2 linked regions of the Cricetulus griseus genome follow. The protein of the gene in region 1 interacts with the protein of each later gene in a pairwise test. Links are inferred from orthologs where the notes say so. Each region holds a gene or a part of one and is shown on either strand. Other genes may lie near its edges.

The links. The genes of interacting proteins can lie anywhere in the genome.
Region 2: the proteins of Hmbox1 (region 1) and Wt1 interact in binary tests that used the Homo sapiens proteins (3 or more experiments, as listed by UniProt). The link is inferred for Cricetulus griseus from reciprocal best matches to the Homo sapiens genes HMBOX1 and WT1.

The regions. Positions count from the first base shown.
Region 1 is NW_023276807.1:219,919,654-219,930,301, forward strand, and holds part of Hmbox1 (homeobox-containing protein 1), read right to left. Parts: intron 4,531-10,648; coding exon 4,054-4,530; intron 1-4,053. UniProt on the Homo sapiens protein: Binds directly to 5'-TTAGGG-3' repeats in telomeric DNA. Associates with the telomerase complex at sites of active telomere processing and positively regulates telomere elongation.
Region 2 is NC_048599.1:72,499,037-72,509,684, reverse strand, and holds part of Wt1 (Wilms tumor protein), read left to right. Parts: intron 1-1,689; exon of another isoform or gene 1,690-1,760; intron 1,761-1,774; exon of another isoform or gene 1,775-1,897; coding exon of another isoform or gene 1,898-1,948; intron 1,949-2,006; coding exon 2,007-2,103; intron 2,104-5,219; coding exon 5,220-5,370; intron 5,371-7,117; coding exon 7,118-7,207; intron 7,208-8,009; coding exon 8,010-8,102; intron 8,103-10,189; coding exon 10,190-10,311; 3' UTR 10,312-10,648. UniProt on the Homo sapiens protein: Transcription factor that plays an important role in cellular development and cell survival. Recognizes and binds to the DNA sequence 5'-GCG(T/G)GGGCG-3'. Regulates the expression of numerous target genes, including EPO.

The DNA.
Region 1 (10,648 bases):
CATCCTGTCTCACAAGTAAATACAGGCTGAGGGCCATCACTGAGGTACATCAAACCACAAGCCTTTTCAAATCTTCTTTTTTAAATTCAGGACTATTTTCATATTTATAATGAAATACTTCAGGGATAGAGCCCAAGTATAAATGCCAAGTTCGATTATGTTTTACATAATTATATAGAGACTACATGGAACCTGGGACAGTGGAATGTGTTGTATTATGGAATTTTTCACTTGCAACACAGAGCGCTCAGAAGTTTTTAATTTTAACACACTATGGCTCAAGGATGCTCAATCAATGCTTTAGTTTTAAGCATATACATAACCAACTTGGAATGAACTTGCAGAATTCTGTACAAAATACTAACAAAATGTAGTGTATGGGTGATGTAGAGCAACATGCTTAATGTACAGCATTACTAACTCTAATAAGCCTCATTTACGTTACCTCATAACATACATACATAACTGCAGGAAAACACTGCTGTAGTCTATTGCATTAGCAGATGCAGACACACATTTCTATGCATATACTTAAATACTGATAGGCCTTTTAAGATGTCCTAATGTAAAATGAGTTGGCTTTACTGTTGGCTTTCAGTCCTTCCCTAAAATGGCACATTCAACCACTTACAGAGAATTTACATGCTAGTGTGGCTCTCTTCTTCCTTTTCTGATCCCAATTCAAAACTAGAAAAGATCATTTCTGACTCTTTAACAAATAGTCAAGGGTACAGTTATAACCTGATGAAGCTGCACACACACACACACAAATCTCCATTATAAACCTTCAGATTATATACTGTAATATGGATTCACTGGATTACAAAATCTGCAAAGCATGTCTCAGGGCAGAGCACCTGCAGGTTGTGGCAGTGGGCAACACAGGAGGCAGGAAGGCCCTCAGATATCCACACTTCCTACTAGAGCTGAGCAATTCCAGGTCACTGTCATGTCACCAATGTTGAGTAAGCAGAAAGGACAGTATATCACTAGACAGATTCAGAAAACTCAGAAAGAGCTATTGTTTGAAAATGTCTCTAATATCTCACCAATAAAAATTCAATGTTTAGTAAGTGACTGATTTGAAGTAGCAGACATGCCAAGGGAAGGAGAATGGCAAGCCCAGTAAGGCCATTCACACTTTCTGCAGAATTATATTTATTACCTTTCCTAAAGCCTTATTTAATCTATAAGCATAAATAATATCAGCAATAAAACATACCAGCAACACAATAATAAAGACATGGGATATAATTTAGGCTCAATAATCAAACTTTCTTGAGCAAATTACTAATTTTCATGAACCCAGTTTCACTGATCAAGCACCCAGCATAGCTGGTGGGACTGCAAACGTCATGTATGCAGTTATTCAGTCACTTCTCCCTGTGTCCTAAGAAGGATTGCCCTCTGCAAACTTGAAAAGGTTGAGAAGGGGCACACATGAGCAAAGTTGGAATGTGAGAACGCCCAATTGTGGAGGAACAAGGGTGCCAGGTCTAGAGGACCCTAGCTAGCTAAATGTCAAAGGAGCTATTCTGAGCAAGAAGCAGAGGAAGGGAAGAAGAAAGAGTCCTAATAACTACACAACAATTAGGAGCACACAAGTGAAACACACGTTACGTCTGTGAGACTGTACCCAACTGAGTGTACACAAACAAAACAAGCTAGTACCTGAACAAATAAATGATATTTTGCTATCTTCTCTATTCAGGATAATTAAAATCTCATGAAACTTCAATGAATAAAGTAACTTATTTGCCAAAATGGTTTTCCTTTTTGAAATGAACAATGAAAGATGCTAAATTCCCCAAACCATCTATGGCCAAGGAAGTGATTCAGTGGAAGATAAAGCCCTGGGTTCAGTCTTCAGCACTAAAAAAGTCACTAGCAACAGCTGAACTGTGAACACCTGGGTTAATAGTCAAAGATAAACCAAAAGCCTCTTGATCTCTTGTATTTCAGAGTGCTAAAAGCTTGCTAACATAGATTGTGGTTGAGGTATGATACTCTTTATAACATGTACCCCACAGTCCCTGCAGCCAAGGACTCCATGTGTGGCAACTCAACCCTGAAAACAAACTCAGAAGAGGCCGTGTGTTTAAGGCTGTCTCCTCAACTCCAAGAGGTGCCATAGGATGGATCTCCACACAGCACTGTCACGACACCGTCATTCTGTCTTGATGTCAGAAAATCTTCAGGACCAGTTAAAACTCAGTTACAACTTTTATTTTTGTTTCTGTTAAGTCTACAATTCTGTTCATTATCAACTGTAACTAATTTATCTACAACCTCTCAATCTTTAAAATTTTTTTAGGCTATTTTTTGGGTATGAGTGTTTTGCTTGCATGTACATAGGTGTACCATATGCATGCCTGGGGCCTGCAGAGGTCAGAAGAGGGTTTTGAACCCCCCAGAATGAGAATTATGGATGGCTGTGAACTATCAAGTGGGTACAGGGCAACAAACTCAGGTTTCCTGCAAGAACAAGTACTTTTAACCAAGGAGTCCATCTCTGCAGCTCAAAGCAATCATTTTTTACACAACAGCCTAACCATACTAAAAACAATGCTTTTGTTGTTTCTGTTTGTAAAGACCTGTAACAGCACCCTAATCCTAATCACTTAGCGTAGAATGTGAAGCCTTTGAAAAGGTGTGCTGAAGTTTGCCAAAGTCTGCCTCATCTGTATTGTTTTTCTTTTTTCTTTTTATGGTTTTTCAAGGCAGGGTTTCTCTGTGTAGCTTTGGATCCTGTCCTGGAACTCACTCTGTAGACCAAGCTGGCCTCGAACTCACAGAGATCCACCTGCCTCTGCCTCCCGAGTGCTGGGATTAAAGGCATGCGCCACCAATGCCTGGCTTGTATTGTTTTTCTTTTGATGCTTTTTTGGAAAGATCCATGCTCTGTAAGCCAGATAGGCCTAGAAGTGCTAGCCTTGAACTCACAGTAATCTTCCTGCCTTACCCTTCCAAATGTTGGGGTTACATGCATAAGTGACCACATTCAGCTCATTTTAACCAGATTAAAAACATGCCTTTTTTGATACTTTTCCTGGTTCCTTAAGAAATAAAATATGTATATTTCAATTTTTATTTTAAAAAAATCAAAAACTTCTCTTATTGACTGTATGTATATATGTGCAGGAGTATTTGTGTGTTGGCATGCTTATAATCAAAGGATAACTTTGGGGAGTTGGTTCTCTCCTTCCACTGTGTGGGTTCCAGGGATGGAACTCATGTCCTCTGGCTTGGCAGCAAACGCCTTTTCCCCATGAACCAGCTCCAAATCCTTAATTCAAAATAGGATACCCTTATGGTTTATGACAAATTTATCTACTCATCTAACATACTGAGCCCACACCATGTGCTAAAGGAAGTTCCTAGTTTGGGACACAGCATGGAAAACACATGTCTGCTACCCTCAAAGTGAACCAGGTCTGCTACAAAGTCTTGATGACCTTAGTTGAAAGTAGGCTTTTTTCTTTGAGTTTAAACTCTAAGTGTACATGCTTACTTGGCAACTGATAAGGTATGGAGTCCATGTGGGTGCTGCATCTATTGCTAAAATTAGAACTTCAGCCTTTTAAGGGTAGGATGGTATCTATGTTTCTTATGAAAATTACTTGTGACCCAACAGTTGCTCAAATTGTTGCTCTGATTGAAATGGTGCAAGGAAAAATGAAGAGTGCATGTATTCTACATCATGGTAAATTTATCTTATCACTCAGAGAAAAATATTTACAATGAAGGACTAAGGATTGGATTAAATGAACTTCGGTCAGTCAGAAACTGCTAAAACCATAAACAGAGAAAGCCCTTTGACAAATCAAGAGACTAGAAAAGCCTCATCATGCAATGAAAGGGCTGAAGTAGAAAAGAAAAAAAAAAAAAAATCTGATCTAAAACCACAATTTCAAGTTTTACTTTCATTTCCAAAGAAGGAAGGGAGAAACCACTGTTCTTATTGTTAAGTTTCTGAAATACAGGCTATTATTTAAACACAATCTTAAAAACATAGATGTTTTAGGGGAATTCAGAATAGGCAAAGCAACTAACCTCATTAATTCCTCCACTTTATCATCTACATCTAGGTCCTCTTCTGAGGCTTCAAAGCTATATGACCTCTGACCCATGCTGTTTACATGGTAGCGAGATGGCGACATCTTCCCATTGGATGTGGACAATCGATCGTTGTTCTCCCTCCCATTTTGATTGGTAGTGCAAGGCTGTGGGGAGGTATCATAACTGTTGCTGGGTGATGGGGACATTCCGGAGTGCTGGGTCTGCGTGGAAGCTGTGGCTGTAGAGGAAGATGCTGGAACATTGTTGGTACTGTTCCCATATGAGCTTCCCCCGTAGCTGGACCTCCTTCCAAACTTATCACTATGTTCTTGATCAAGACGGTCCAAAGTTTCTAATGCATGGAGAATTTCATGTTTGGTCATCCCAGTACGCCGAAGACGTTGGAGTAGATCTATCTGTTCTATGGTAAATCTGGGTTCATCTGTATAGTGAGACATGGTTTCCAGCAAACTGGGGGGGAGGGAGGGGAGAAAAGGATAAAAATGAAGTGCCTTTATTGTCATCTAACAAAACCATTTCCCCATCAAGAATCCTCAGCAGAAGAAGCTTGATCTGAGCACCATCGGGATAGGGAGATAGCTCAGTCAAGTGTTTGTTGTGTAAGCAGGGGTACCTAAGTTCAACCTCTTGCACCAATGCAAAAGCTGAGAGCAGCAGCACATGACAGGAGTTCTAGCATTAGAGAGGTGAACACAAGATCTTTGGGGTCAGTCAAGCAAATCAGTGAGCTGTGGTTTCAGTGAGAGAACCTATCTCAAAAAATAAGGTGGAGAGCAACTGATGAAGACACCCAATGTCCACTTCTGGCCTCCACATGCATTCATATACATATTAGTATACACATATACACATGCCCACACACCAACAATAACAACAACACACACTAACAATAATAACAAAAGAAAAAAGACATGAGTCCTATCAGACTTTTTTGTTGTGACTTGGATTGGTACAGATTCTGAGTTTAGTAGAGTGCATCAGTTATAACATAAAACCCAACTTATAATGGGATAAAGTTTATGTTTTTCAGTTTTGGTAACCAACCAAACTTTGGAAGCAAAATGTTAATTATATCAGGATACCAATTCATAAGGTAAAATACATATAGTGCATTAGGCTCAGACTATGTGATAATGGACAATTTTTTCAATTTTGAAACATATTGTTTTATACTAGCATATTAGTGGGAAATTGCTGGAAAAAAGTTTATCTTGCTTTTCAAAATATCAGTAAAACTGAAAAGAACTCTTAGGTCGTATAGTGAAAAATGTTCAGACTGCTTGGCTGAGTCTAAGTGAATACTAGTAACGAGAACATTTCTTTTTTGAGACAGGGTTTCTCTTTGTAGTTTTGTAGACCAGGCTGGCCTCAAACTCACAGATATCTGCCTACCTCTGCTTCCTGAGTGCTGGGACTGAGGCATGTGTCACCACTGGCAACTTTAGTGGAGGATAAGAGCAGCACACACAACAACAAACCAAGCACTGCTTCTACTTCTTAGCAGTCTCGTGAGCTTCTCATTGAGCTCTCTGAGTGGATCCCTCATGTGTTCAGCCAACTAGAGCTATCTGTATCTTGAAAATTGGTTCTACATGTTTCCACCTCAACTAGAACAAGACAATATCACACACCAGGAAATATTTTCTTTTTCTTTATACATTAACCAATTTATTATATGACAGAGAGCGAGTGAGTGAGAAATAGAAGAGAGGAGAGGCAGAGAAAGAGGCAGAGAGAGAAGCGAAAAGAGAGAAGAGCCAGAAAATGTTTTCTTAAGAGAGAAACTTAATATTTTGTTTAAGACATTAGCCACATCAAAAAATGGTTTCTCCTTGAATTACTTTTTTTAAAACTAAAAGCTGACTTTAAAAAAGATTTACATATTTGTCTTTATTATTTTGTGTTGAGTGGTAGTCTACATATCCCTATGCATGCAGTGCAGAAGCAGCCAGAAGAGGGCAGTGGGTGTCCTGGAATTGGAGTTAACAAACAGCTTTGTAAGTTGTCCTGTGGAGGCTGAAAACACAACCTGGGGCTTCTGGAAACACATGAAGAGCTCTCAACTGCTGAGTCATCTCTCCGACCCCTAAAATCAGACTTTTGAATTCAGGATTTCTGAAAGTGATAACCATCTTTATTTTAATAGTATTTTCTAGTGACAGATGTATGTGGCATGGATCAGCTTTCATGAAGCATGAGTTCTAATAGGTCTTAATAATAAAAGCCCATAGCCGGGCATTGGTGGCGCATGTCTTTAATCCCAGCACTTGGGAAGGCAGAGGCAGGAGGATCTCTGTGAGTTTGAGGCCAGCCTGGTCCCCAGAGCGAGTACCAGGATAGGCCCAAAACTACACAGAGAAACTCTGTCTCAAAGAACATAAATAAATAAATAAATAAATAAATAAATAAATAAATAAATAAATAAATAAATGCCCATAGCCAGATGAGATATCAGGGCAAATGCTGAAAGATCAGAGAGAGAAAAGAGCAAGTCACAGCCAACTCTTACCTTGCTAACTCCTGATCCTAAAGAGACAGAGTTCCTGTTTTCTCCTACCTCATATTCCTCTCTCCCCAGCCATATCACTTCCTGTCTGTCTGTACAGACCTCCAAACCTCTATGGTTAACTAGTGGCTAGCTCCACCCTCTGATCTGCAGGCAAGCTTTATTTGTTAATGTATAAACAAGATATCACCACATCCTCAAATAAACAATTGCTAAGAGAAACAGTGGTCAAGAAATTTCCTTCTCCATGAAAGAAAAATCCAATTGAACAGTCACTTTTACTAAGAAGTTGGGCAAGAATTTCATATAGTACATAACATAACCTCGCCTAGTCCTCATAGTGAGTCTCTGTAATAGATACGATTTATTTGTTTTGTTTTAATATTATGTTATGAACTATGTTATGTTATTATGTTAAGGAAACTGAGGCTTAGGATACCTTTGTACCTTTTAGGAAGTCAAAGGCCACCCTGGTGGTACAAAGATAACAACTTTCAGAGACCATCTGGAAAACAGACCGAGTTCAAGGCCATGTTGTAATTTAGTGAGACCTGTCGTAAAATAAAACTTAAGTAGTCTTTAATAACAGTTCACATTCTTGTTTGTGTTTTGTTTTGGTTTTTTAAGGCAGAGTTTCTCTGTAGCTTTGGTTTAGAGCCTGTCCTGGAACTAACTCTGCAGACCAGGGTTGGTCTTGAACTCACAGAGATCAGCCTGCCTCTGCCTCCCAAGTGCTGGGATTACAGGCATGTACCACCTCTGTCTGGCTCTTTTTTTGTTTGTTTACTGAGATACTTCTCTGGCTCCTTTTTTTTTTTTTCTTTAAATGGTTGCCAAGCCAAAATAATTTACCCCTGAATTTACTGGCTTCGAAAATTCCAATTCCCCTCATAATTATTTTTTTATCTTCATAGTTACTTTTCTTTGAAAATAAAAGGCCTGTTTTGTTATCTTCAGTCCTCATCCAATCAAAGTATTTGGAAAACTGTTCTTCCCTTAGATGCCTAACTTTAAGAACTATTTTATCTATGTGCACCAAAGTTAACCATGCTTTCCTATCGTGTTCACTCAGCGCAGACCGTAAGTCATGTACTGCTCTTCAAGCCTCTGTGATACAACACTGGCTATTAGCATAAAACTTCACAGTACCTGAAATATTTTATACCATTTAGGATCCACTAAGACTAGAAAAACATTTTTATTCAAGTATCAAAAGGAAGGAAACAGGGTCCCCCTATTACTTTGATTGCCCATAAGACCTAATCATGTGTTCTTGGGTCAGCTCTTCACAGAAATCAACTTCTGGTGAACAGGCTGCCATAGGAATTGAAAGTTGGCTCTCTTTAAAATGTTCTCCTTATACTACAGTAAGATGGACAGTAAGTTTAACTGTTCTAAGCCACAGGAAGTCTTTCGTGCAGCAGGAGTTGCAGGGAGAATAAAGCAGGTGACCAAAAAAATTGCAGAGAACAAGAGGAAAGCCTTGCAGCATCCTCTTGTTGTCCCTGTAATTCTTAAGCCACTTAAACCTTGGTCGTCTTTCGTTTTGTGAAACAAACAACTTCCCTTTATTATTCACTGTGTTTAAATAGGATGTCTGTAATTTGTACCAAGAGCAGCCCCTGCTGCCAAGAGAGCTACAACAGAGGTCTCAGTTGCCAGGATCAAACGAGTGACTTAGAGGAAAAGGATACTGGCATCTTGAGCAGGATCACATTGTGCACATGACATTGAAAATACAGTATGTTACCAAGAAAAACAAAAACACTCAAGTGATTAGAAGCTCTCGTGGATATTGAGAATACTATGCCGTGCATCAATCCACACGATGGGAAGTGTTATGCCATTTTCCATTTGTACTTCTCATAATTTTCCGAGTGTAAGCACAGCTTCATAAAATAACAGCAGCACATGACCTGTAAAGGTCATCTAGGTCCATAATGCCAGCAATCATTACAGGACAAAGGAAGATGAGATGGAGGGGCTACATTATTTTTCTCAAGCACAATGATCACTCACAGGATAAGGGGAAGTTTTGCTTTAAATTACTGATTTGAATGCAGGCTCCAGCCAACAGTAATTGAAAATAATATAACAATTTTGACACTTGAATAATACAGATAAAGATTAGAATAGAAAAGAACAATTCAGGTCAGGACTTACAGCTCAATTCCTAAACTAATACTGTAAGACCACAGTACATTTTGGGATATTAACCATATTTTGCAATACACCTAAAACTTTTCTAGATAAGCCACAAGGCCTGGGATATACCATTATAAATGATATTCCAAAGACGGAGAGCAGAAGAGTCTAGCTAAAGCATCCAGAAAGGATTAACTAGCACTGATATCAAAGGGGCAAAAAAAACTATACGAACTGTAAAGTATCAACAGTTAAGTATTTCTGGCAAACAAAAGTTTTCTCCCGGATTATTTCTACTGTTTCTATGTGTCCAGAATGACTAGGAAGAACCATTTTGCTTTGTATGATCACTGTAGTAGGAATCAAACATCCCAGGCCCTTCTTATTTATATACATAAACCCTTCTTGGTTATTACTACCATTGAAGAAGCGGCTTCAAAATAAGAAAATTACATGTAAGAGTAAGTAAGAATGTTTTACAGGGAACTGAACTTTTGAGTAGAGTAAAATGATTCTATAATTCAAATTATTAGGTAAACTGACTAAAGCCTAAGAATAGTCTATGACTACAGACCATGAGACAGAGCCTTGCTACAAAGCTCAGGCTGGTCTTGAACACAAGCTCCTTCTGCCTTGGTGTCCCAAGTACTGAGATTATAGGCCAGAGAATATTAAATCTCATCAGAGTCCTGTGCATAAGGATCAGGAGTCAATACCCATCCACTTGAGAACCCTCCCTACTTTTGAGAATGTTAAATTAAACCTCCCCAGGTCCTCTAGTAAGTTGCTGACTAGAAGTACTAGCCTTCAAAAACTTTACGTTTGACAGACATTTTGAAGACTTTGCAGTTTCACTTGCCTACTAGTATCAGCAGTGCCCTAAGCCATCAAGTGCTAAAAAAGAAAGAAAAGGGGCTGGAGAGATAGCTCAGTGGTTAGGAGCACTGACTGCTCTTCCAGAGGGCCTGGGTTTAATTCCCAGTAACCACATGGCAGCTAACAACTGTCTGTAACTCCAAAATCTGACCCTCTCACACAGACATACATGTAGGCAAAACACCAATGCAAATGAAATAAATTTTAAAAAAAGAAAAACAAAAAAACAAAACAAAATCCTCATTGCTGTTTTCATTTGGCAATACATTCTTTAATATTTTGCTTTTATTTTAATTAAACGAATTACTTAAAAAAAAGTGTGACAATAATGTATATATACAATGCCCTGACTACTGTGTTAATGTCACAGAAAACAGCACCCCACCACACTCCTCTCTATTCTGTGGTTCCCACAGTCCTACTTCCTCTCTTCAATGTCTGGGCCTTGGAAGGCCTTGGAGGGGATGACATAGATGTTATGTTTGGGGCTAAGCATTCAGCAGTCAATCAAGGTAATCTCTATGTGTCCTTCATGACTTCAGGGACCTCTACTGTGAAGATCAAATGACATTATCACTACTGTAAAGGTACACCTGGTACCTTACTTCCCACAGAAACCAGTTATACACTAACTGAACAACTAAGCTTCAATAATTTAGGAACTCACTGTGCAGTTAAGATATGCCGCAACTGTACATTAAGGACAGTCCTCTGAGGTTTGTTCACATTTTACCCACTCCTCAAGAACTATAAACCTTTCCAAGTGTGGTGACACAAAAGGCTGAGGCAGAGGGATTGAGAGTTCAGGGTTACCCTTGGCCATGTAGCAAGTTTGAGGGCTGTCTGGGCTACACAAGACTCCGTCTCAAAAAACCAAACAGAACAGTGAACCTAAGTGGAGGGAGGGGTTTCTTTGTGTGCCAATGAATTGTGTGATTTGTGAAACTACTTTGATTATCTCTTTATTTTTACCACATACAAGAAAGACCTAATTAAAAACATTCAAGTTTATAAACAGAGAGATAAAAATTTGGTGTCAAA
Region 2 (10,648 bases), on another chromosome or scaffold:
CCCCAAGTCCATCAGACAGAGTGGGCTGGTGGACTAGGTCACCTGTCTATAGGCTGGTATCCATGATGCTGGAGTAGCAGAGACAGGGGTGTGGGGATCTCAGCATAACAGTCAGTTAATTTTACTTGGAGGCTTTTAACGATGCTACTACAAAATTTATTGTTGTTATTATTTTGTGTGTTTGTTTGTTTGGGAAAAGGTCTCATGTAGCCCAGGCTAGTCTCAAACTCCTGATCCTTTTGTCTCCATCTCCCAAGTGCTGGGATTATAGGTGTGCACTGCCATGCTCAGCTTGCTATGAAACATTTCAAAAGAGCTTTATTGATTTTCCGTGCCATATAATTCCCCCACTTACAGTGTACAATCTAATGGTTTCTAATTAAGTTACAGACTTGTGTGGCCGTTCCTACATAGTTAGGACATTTTCAGTAATCACAACCATGTTTTCCCCAACTCAATTTGTCCTAGGCAATCAACCAACTGCTAAGCTACTTTCTATCCATTGGCTTACTCTGGGCATTTTGTGTAAATAGAATTCTGCAGCATGTGGTCTTTTGTACTCACTATACCATATAAATACTGCACTCCTCTTTTGCCAAATGGCATTCCACTATGTGAGTATACTTCATTATTTATTCTATCAGTTGATTGGTGAGTTGATTCTAATTTCTGGCTTTTGAGAATAAAGAATGTTTCTAGAGAATAGTATATATAAGTGGGTTGTCTTTTTTTTGACATCTGCTTTTATTTCTCTGAGGAATACACCCAGGATTTCTGGGTAATATGGCCACTTTTTAGCTAGTTTGTGTGTGTGTGTGTGTGTGTGTGTGTGTGTGTGTGTGTGTGTGTGTGTGTGACTTCTAGTGTTTTTGAAGTAGCTGCCTTTCACAGAGATGTGCATGAAAGCGGGTTCATCACCATCCCCAGAGTGACTCTCATTATAATTTGTATATATTGCCAGTGTGGGCCAGAATTTTTGTGCTGACTGGATTGGAAATAAAATCACTGTAGAAACAATTCCAGGACTGTACCTGAAGGAGAGAGTCTTTTCAGAGCAGAACATTCTGGCTTTTCAGGTTATTCTTTTTGAGGCTCCACATCCCTCAGGTCTTACTTGTGGTCCCAAGTTACCCCGGGCAATACATTTCCTAGGAGGTGAGTCAGCCTGGAATGATGGACGGACAATTGTCCAGCATTCTTTGATGCCCTCAAAGTTAAGGGTGGGGAGATGGCTCAGTCAGAGAACTACTTGCTGGCAAACATGAAGACCTTAGGTCAGCCCCACAGAATCCACATAAAAAAATCCAGGAGTGCTTGTAATCTCAGCACCCAGGAAGTGGAGATGGGGATCCCTGGGGATTGCTGTACAGCCAGCCTAGCTGAACTGGTAAGCTCCAGGTTCAGTAAGAGACCCTGTCATAAAAAAATAAGGTGGAGAGAGACCAAGGAAGACACAGGGGTCTATTCAGGCCCTCCAAATGCACATTCACATATAGCCACATAAAGCCCCCCCCCCCACACACACACTGTTAACTTGCTCTGGAAAATTGATCAGGGGACTGAGTGGAGCCACAGACGCGCACCCCCCACCCCCTTCTGAGGACGTGACATCTCTTCTTGTAAATGTCATCACTTTCTTGGTTCTATCTGGTAAGAACTGAGTCATGAGGTGCTGACAGAACCCCAGTGGACTTCACATGCAGCCTGGAGCATTCTGCTCATTCCTGAGATACTCACACTGTCAGCCTGCTGTTCAGATGGTAAACAACTTTCCCGGGGTGTGCGTCTGCTGTGGCTTTTCTTGGCTTGTCTGAATGAAGCACAGACCCAGACAATTTGCCTCTGGGGGTGACTTTTAGGGGTGGTGGTGGCTGCAAGATGGTAACACATCGGTGTAATGGCCTCTGCTTTCACCGAGCTCCTTTCCAGAGTGACCCTGTGGAAGAAGGTAAGACTTTGTATTTCCAAAAGGTGGCCCTGAACCAACTTCAACCTTTTGTTTGCAGCCACGGCACAGGGTATGAGAGTGAGAACCACACAACCCCCATCCTCTGTGGTGCCCAGTACAGAATACACACCCATGGTGTCTTCCGAGGCATTCAGGTGAGTGCCCGGATGCCCAGCCAAAGGCTGCCTTCACTGACTCTTCCTCTGCTCATCTGCCCTGCAGCGTCTGCTGCTGGACCACCTGGCCCTGGCAAGGGTTTGTCACCAGAGATGCTCCTCCTTTCACTCCACCCCGGCAGAGATGCTGCCTTGTCTAACTGCCACCAAGAGACTTCTTGCACAATCCCATCCTTCCTCTTTTATTATTAGTTCTGCTTCTCCACAGTGGGTGGTACAATTGCATGTGGGCCATATGCATTTGAATTAATGATCTGAACCCTTGACTTCTAAGATTTGATCTGTATTGTAAAGTTCTCAAAGGTAGACTGTCTTGCCAAGTGTTGACAATAGCATCGACAATAGTACCACTTATGACTGGACATGTTCTATGAAGTGAGATTTAGACACAGACTTTAAAAACACTGAGTTTATGTAGCTTCTAGGTTTACACAAAATATGCACAGAAATTATAGTGTTCCTATGTCCTTCTGCTGTCACCTTCACATAATGTTACACTTGTTACAATGGATGTTGGTGTATTATTGGTAACTGAATTGCTTTGTTGTATAGACCTATGGGTTTTGATACACGTAGAATGCCATTTATTATTATTATTATTATTATTATTATTATTATTATATGGAGTAGTTTACTGTTTCAAAAATGCTCATACTCCACCACCTGTACATCATGCCCTTTTCCAGTCCCTCTCTATTCCCAACAGTCACTGTCCCTTTCTCACACTGCTGGCTACTCCATTTCATTTTCAGGCTAACTTCTTTGACTTAGTAATGTGTGTTTATGATTCCATTACATGGTCTTTGTTCTCTGATATGGCCCCGCTGCAAGCTTAAGAGGTAGACATTTTCTAGTTGGGGAAACTGAAGAGAGAAGACAAGGGGCTTGTCTAAAACCACATAGTAAGTGGGGGCTGAGATTTGTAATATATATTTTATTAGACTCCACAATTTTTATTTTGCTTCTTAATATTGTTTATTAGAGGAGATGAAATAATATTGTTCGTTAGAAGAAACAGGAGAGAGAGGTCTTCCGGGTGAACAAAGAATCTCAGAGAATGTAGGTTATTCAGGGGAGACTCCACCCCCATCCCAAACCTCTTGTGGGTAGTCAGAACCACAATTACCAAGGACTCACATCTGTGACTTACAAACCTGACTCAGTGACTGCCACAAAAGAAGTAGCTAGAGTATCCTTTCAAGGGAGGTTAAGACCCAAAAATAAGTTGCATAAGGGCTGGCCTCTATGTGAATGGGCAAGGAGCTCCACTTCATGGCATTCAGTGTGCTCTGTCATCCCAAGTCTTTCCATGGTGAGAAATAAACAAGTCACAGAAATGTGGAGATGTGACAGAGTTTCATCTGAGTGTCTCACAACAGACATCATCAGCACCTTCGCCAGACTGCACACTGACAGTAGTAGCTGTTTTTCAGTCTTAGTCCTACATAGTCTTCATCTAGGATGAGAAGAGATGAAAGAGGCTTAATACACCTGCCTTCTCACCAGATGCAGTTTATCAGATCCACTGTCAGGGCCTTTAGTAGATGCCACACCCTATATATGTTTCCCTACTTACTCTTTTTCTTGTAGAATATGACAAACCGCTGGCCTACCATTTACTTGTATCCCACCATTAACCCTAGGAGAAAGGCAAATGGTTGACATACTGTGACATACCGATACAGTATTTATGGTATGACACTACAGAACTTTTTCTTACAAAAAAGAAAGTGCCCTGCTAGGGCAAGGCAAGTGAACTAGGAACAAGAATGTGAGTGGGTAGATTAGAAGACTAATGACATAGGAAGTTATTAAGAACAGTGGTTCTCAACCCTTGGGTTTACATATCAGACATTTACACTATGAATCATAACAGTAGCAAAATTATAGTTATGAAGTAGCAATGAAAATAATTTTATGGCTTCGGGTAACCACAGCATGAGAAACTGCATTAAAGGGTTGTAGCATTAGGAAGGTTGAGAACAACTGGCTTAGTGGATGTTCCAGATCTTTATACCATCACAGATGTGTTCCTGTGTCAGCAGATCATCTCTTTGGTCCTGGTGGGCACACCTGTAATTGAATAAGGAGGAATCATTACTGCTATCCAGGAATCACTGAGCCTGAGGGCAAGAAAAGAGATTTGCCTCCCTTGCTAGATGACAGGGACCAGTAGGTGTCTCGGGAAGGACATGCAAAGAGCACAGAAGGCAGATAGCTTCCAGTGTTTTCCTGTGTCACTGTTAAAGATCACACTGACTGTATTACAGCATTCTGGTGGATTCAGAGGCCCCAAACCCAGAGACTTCTTTATTTACTTCTATTTACATGTGAATCTCAGGTCAGTTTGGGCCTCACTCAGTGTCTCATGTCTTTCTCTGCTAAGAACTTTCTTATCCATTTCCTCCCTCCCTCCCTCCCTCCCTCCCTCCCTCCCTCCCTCCCTCCCTCCCTCTCCTCCCTCTCCCCTCCTTCTTTCTTTCTTTCTTTCTTTCTTTCTTTCTTTCTTTCTTTCTTTCTTTCTTTCTTTCTTTCTTTTGATGTTTTTGAGACAGAGTTTCTCTGTGTAGCTTTGTAGACCAGGCTGGCCTTGAACTCACAGAGATCCACTGACTCCGCCTCCCGAGTGCGGAGATTAAAGGTATGCACCACCACCACCCAGCTCTTATCCATTTTCTCATTGAGTCCATAATCACATGGCCAAGTCTCTAATTGGGAAGGGCATACATACAGTCTGGGACTCTGGATTCTAGACCTCACAGTCTCAAGTGAGAGATAGATTGGGAACTTCTCCTGACACTAATGTTTCTTCTCTAGAGGTTCTATGCTGGGGACCCCAAAGAGGTTTCATTTCAAATCCAAGTTCTGGCGATCAGCAGTAATGACATCAGAACACTGCATCATAGAGTTTCCTATCTATCATCAATTAGTGATGTCTGCCACAGGTTTCTAGGGTATGGAGGCAAACACTTTTTGGTCTCATGCCATACCTGCCTTCTCTTCTTTAGATATATTTCAGTGCTCAGCTTCCCATGGGACTAATATGAATGTTCACATGTGGCAAGGCCTCCATTCTTCTTATATTTTGCCTGCAGGATGTACGACGTGTGTCTGGAGTGGCCCCAACTCTTGTCCGCTCAGCATCTGAGACCAGTGAGAAACGTCCTTTCATGTGTGCCTACCCGGGCTGCAATAAGAGATATTTTAAGCTGTCCCACTTACAGATGCACAGCCGGAAGCACACTGGTAAGTGTGTCCACTGTCCAGACTCGAGTAATGGTGGTTCATGAACTCTCATTCTGGACTCTCACACTGCTAAGGACACAGGTGACTTGTGGGATGGAAGGCTGGCACTTTCAAAGGTCAGGCTACAGTGGCCAAAGCTGCAGGGTTGTTTGCATGAGGGTTTCCCATCTTTTATTAGTGAAATCAGTAAGCAGTCTTCAGGAAAGCAGAACAGGGTGGTGGAAAGCAAATGCCATAGAAGAAAAATGACATGAGTTTGAAAGTTGTATTCACCGCCAACTGGTGAGACCTTGAGCCAATTGCTCAACGTCCCTTTGAACTCCAAGTACTTTGTATGGACAATGAAGATGATAGTGCCTACACTGTGCAATTCTTAAGCCTAGAGGAAAAGGAATCAAATTATACTACAAGAGTTGTAGCATAGGACCCTGTGTCTCTAGGCCTGAATGAAAGGTAGCGTGATTTCTGAGGGACTATTAGCATCTTTAGCAGGGAAGACACATCTGGGATAGTACAATCAGATGGTTCAGAGCATGAAGGACAAAGTCACCATAAACCTCGAAGAGTAGGTTCAAATATACACTTAGATGTTCTGGAATTAATTCTGGAGTAAAGAAGGCCATTAAGTTTCCAAGCCTTAAGGCCCATGCCCACCTTTTCTTGTCAGGTTACACTTCCTGAAGGTTCCACCACCTCTCAAAATGGCACTATGAGCCTGAGACCAACACATCAAATGGATGATGGTTTATATTCAAACCATAAGATAGCATTGGCATTTGTGAGGGGTATGCGAGTAACACTTTGATGGGTAGGAATGGGAGCATAAGATGAAGGGTGTTGAGTGAGGAGGGCTCAGGATGGTGAGATCAGCTACACCAGACACATGGAAAGACCAGGGAAGCATCAGAGGTCCTGAGCAGGAAAGGCAACTTGGAGCTGTCCATCAAAGGACAGAATCCACTGACCTCCGAGTAGCTTGCTCTCTGTCCCAGAATCCAGTGACTCAGAATTCCAGGAGGTGGGAACACTCGCAGAAGCTCAGTGCACTCCGGGGGCTATTCTGTCATGTTTGGCTGAAGTTTTCCTTGGCCACAGGGGTGTGGCCCTTCTTCTCTGAGTCCAGAGTTGCACAACCCTACTGCTGACTCGTTGCAGATTAAAGGACAACAGTCTTGCTAAATGCATCTACTTCTGATTTAATTGGGGTGTCTCACCACCATGGAGTCATTTATGTTGGACTCCATGGTGTCAGAGAACAGGAAGTCAGTAGCAGAGAGCACCAAATATTCAGGCTGTAAAACATGAAACACTTAATTCACATGGTCAGTCTCAAGGCACATCTATCCAAAATTCTATCTCAGATTCAACCAAGGAGTCATAACTTTTTTCTTTTCTTTTTTTCCTTTTTAAAATAGTCCCTGCTAATATATGTGTTTTTTGAGCATTGCCTCAGTGTGAGGCACCAGTCTTGCCCGCTACAGGGATGGTCTGGTCTAATCTGTTCATGAACCCTTGGACAGTGCCTCAGCCAACATCCTAAATGCCAGAGTATCCTTCTTCCCTACTCCCTGTGTCCATGGACTTGTGTGTAAGTGGGATTTCATCTTCCTGGAAGTCTATAGTGCTACCCTAACAAACTCCCCTGAAATGCTTTGGGAATTTTGGGATCCCTTCATCTGCATTTAGGAGGACTTGCCTGTCCGATTTCCAGCTTTGTACTCAGAAACAACATATGTCTTTCCCTAAGGTGAGAAACCATACCAGTGTGACTTCAAGGACTGTGAGAGAAGGTTTTCTCGCTCAGACCAGCTCAAAAGACACCAAAGGAGACACACAGGTTTGTAGGTTAACTTCTCATTGCCAGAAGTCACAAGCCCTTCGGTTAGAGTTGACTTTGTGCTGTCTTCTCTGTAGAACACGGATGAGAGGGTACTCTATCTATCTATCTGTTTAATTTTCCCAACTTTCTTCCCCTCATATGGAGACTTGTCTTTTGAAAAGGAAAGGGGCTGTGGAAATGATAGCTCAGCAGTTAAGAGCACATGTTCTTCAAGAGGACTCAGGTTCAGTTCCCAGCATCCACAACAGGCAGTGTGTGTAACCATAGCTCCAGAGTATCTGACACTCTCTTCTGGCCTCCAAGGGCACTGTAAACACATGATATACAGTCACACAGAGACACACATAAATGATAAAAAATTAAGTCTTTCTTTACAAAGGAGAAAGAGAAAAGAAAGGAAATGGTTCACATTTCTTAGGAGAACTACAGCACAAGGGAGATGCCACAGCAGGCTGGTGGTCCACTGATGTTCAGTTAGGAGCCAGGATGAAGAAGAGAAGCTGGCTTGCAGTGATCCACTTTCCTCAGTCTCTAACACTTGTCTGCTGGTGAGAACTGGATGTTGGTGGTTAGGAAATGTTTTTTTCCCAAGTCAGGAGCAGCACCTGGAGGTTGCTGACCAGAATCAGGTGACTTCTGCTGGGCCTGGGGATCAAGGAAATGTGAGGTCCAGGTAGACACAGACCTTGCCGATGTGATGGATATGCCAGGCTTCTCAAGCTGCCAGGAAGCTGGCCTTATGTGTCTCACTATGCCCCACATTGTTAGGGCCGAGGCTAGACCTTCTCTGTCCGTTTAGGTGTGAAACCATTCCAGTGTAAAACTTGTCAGCGAAAGTTTTCCCGGTCCGACCACCTGAAGACCCACACCAGGACTCATACAGGTAAAACAAGTGCGTAAACTTTTCTTCACATTTATTTTTCATTATTTTTAAGATACTGTTGAATGAAACTGTAATGAGAGTCATAGAAAAATTCTAGAGTTGCAATTCCATTTAGAGAATGTCTAGCTATCTTTACATGATAAATGATAACATTTTTCAAATAAAGGGCCAGAGAGCACTGAGTAGAAAAGAGATGGGAGGAGAAAGTCCAATGGGCTCAGAACAAAGGCAGGAAGATAAGTTCATCCCCACCATCCCCAGTTTGCTGTATTCTGGTCAACCCTATAGCGTGACCAGAAATTCAAGATATTCTATTCTCCTGAGAGCTCATGTTTCACAGTTCTGATTGGAACGTGTTTACATAAAGCTCCACAAGAATTCTAGGTTTCTTCCAGTTTAACAGAAACTCATGGACATACTTCTTTTATACTAGCACAGAGAGGAGAATGGGGCATTGGCATAGTGACTGGCTGCTGAAGCACTGTCCACAAGGCTGATGAAATTCGTAGTAAAAACTGCCCTTGTGGCATATGAGCTTCCTTAGAAAGCAGAACTGTCTCATAGGTTAGCTCTTCATCTTTCCAGCATCGTAGGAACTAGAGCAGGGAGGTGTTTTTAGTCCTCATTTAACAGATGAGCCTATAATGGGTAGTGATCAAATGATTTACCCAGAGCCTCAAAACAACTGGATGGCAATCTCAGTGGTCACTGTTCTGGTCCCACCTCATCCTTATTGTTCTTTCTCTTGGAGAATAAACATGTGCCCAAATAGCCATCCTGGGAAGCCAGGGAATTGAGGAGAGAGACAGAATAATAGCCAAGCTGAGTGCCACTGGAGGGACCAGTATGAGAAAGAGCTGAAAAGTACCCATGAGGAGGTGAAAGTGGCAGGCAGGAACCAGATCAGGAAAAGCAGATGGACAGTGAGTAGGAGGTGAGAAGGCCATGGCAGTCTTCAGCACAGACAGGTTATACCTTAGGATACCGTCAAAGCACCGTGCCCCAGGTTGACAAGATATAAGTCTCAGTCTCCTTCAGGTATTTTTGACATATTGCCTTTTAGTCCCAAACTCATAGTCTGGAGATTGTTCCTGCACACCTCATTGTCTGCAAACCTGTGCCACCAACAAACTACTTAATGCCACCCAGTCTGGCCTCAAAACACCACATCTCTTGGGACATTTCTTATTGGAACCATCAGTATCCTAGGAAGACCCTCCAGGTGGCACAGGGCTTAGCCCCTGTGGCATTTTCCTCAGCAAGCCCTAAGGGGTGTGACATAGGGATGAGTGTAGGCTTCAGGATTAGACATGCCTGGGTTTGAATCCTGCCTGGCTCTGTCTGCAATAGCCATGCAACTTTGTCTGAGAGTGAAGATAACATTTCTTTGTGAGGCTGTTTTAAGAAACATACAAGGCATTACATACAAGATATCTATTGTCTTTAATGAGAGTGCCTAAGATGGAGCAGTTTTAATCATTTGGTGGAACTAATGTTGCAACCAGAATCTTGTCTCTAACACAGGCTTGTTCTGAGTCATCATTTGCACTAAAAAGAAGCAAATAGGATACAAACTGGTAGCCATGATTTACTTTAAATCATCTATGTGGAGATAATAAAGCTTCAGTCCCAGATCTATTGATGACCAGTCATCAGTCAATGGTATCTAGGATAGTGATCCAGAGTAGCCATCAATCAACAGTATCCAGGGTGATGGTTCAGACCTTTGCAGCCAGCTCCCACCTAGACAGCAATGGGGAAACATTTGCACAGGTCACAGAGTGTCCTTTGAGATGAGACAAAGTTTCCTAAACCCCCTTAATTTATGAGTTGCTTAGAGATTTCCACAAACTAGATTTCTCTCTCATTTCCCAAGTTTTCTATTTTATTATGCTTATAGTGCTTCTGGTTTTCAAGCCCTCAAAAGGCATTGCTAATCCCAGGCTGCCAGTGAAGAGCCAGTTGGTTAGCTTAGGGAATGACCCAGGGGAGTCCAGGGCGGGTGTCTTATGGTGATTTAGCTCGGGCCTTTGATAGTTGAACCTGTGCCCAGTCACTCTGCTGCAAGTGTCTCTAACTGGCAATTGTGTCAACAGGTGAAAAGCCCTTCAGCTGTCGGTGGCACAGTTGTCAGAAAAAGTTTGCTCGGTCAGACGAATTAGTCCGCCATCACAACATGCACCAGAGAAACATGACCAAACTCCAGCTGGCGCTTTGAGGGGTCCGACCGGGGGACAATTCAGCATCCCAGGCAGGACAGTGTGCAAACAGCTTCCAAATCTGATTTTGAAATTCCTCCCCACTCACCTACAAAATGACTTGCTGGGGGATCGTCACCCAATTTCCAAGACAGCACACGAGTTTGGCTATACCCTGTCAGGTTTGCTGGAAGGAGACTGTGCTCCACCTACTCTTGTCTAACTCATAGGCCTGAAAAAGTGGCTCAAGATGTCTTGTTAGTTGAAAGCACGTTGCCATTGGGTCTGAGTTTTCCACTGTTAGAAGAACCATTGTTGCTAATGTCCCCCTACCTTCCTCTTCTCCTTTATGCACAT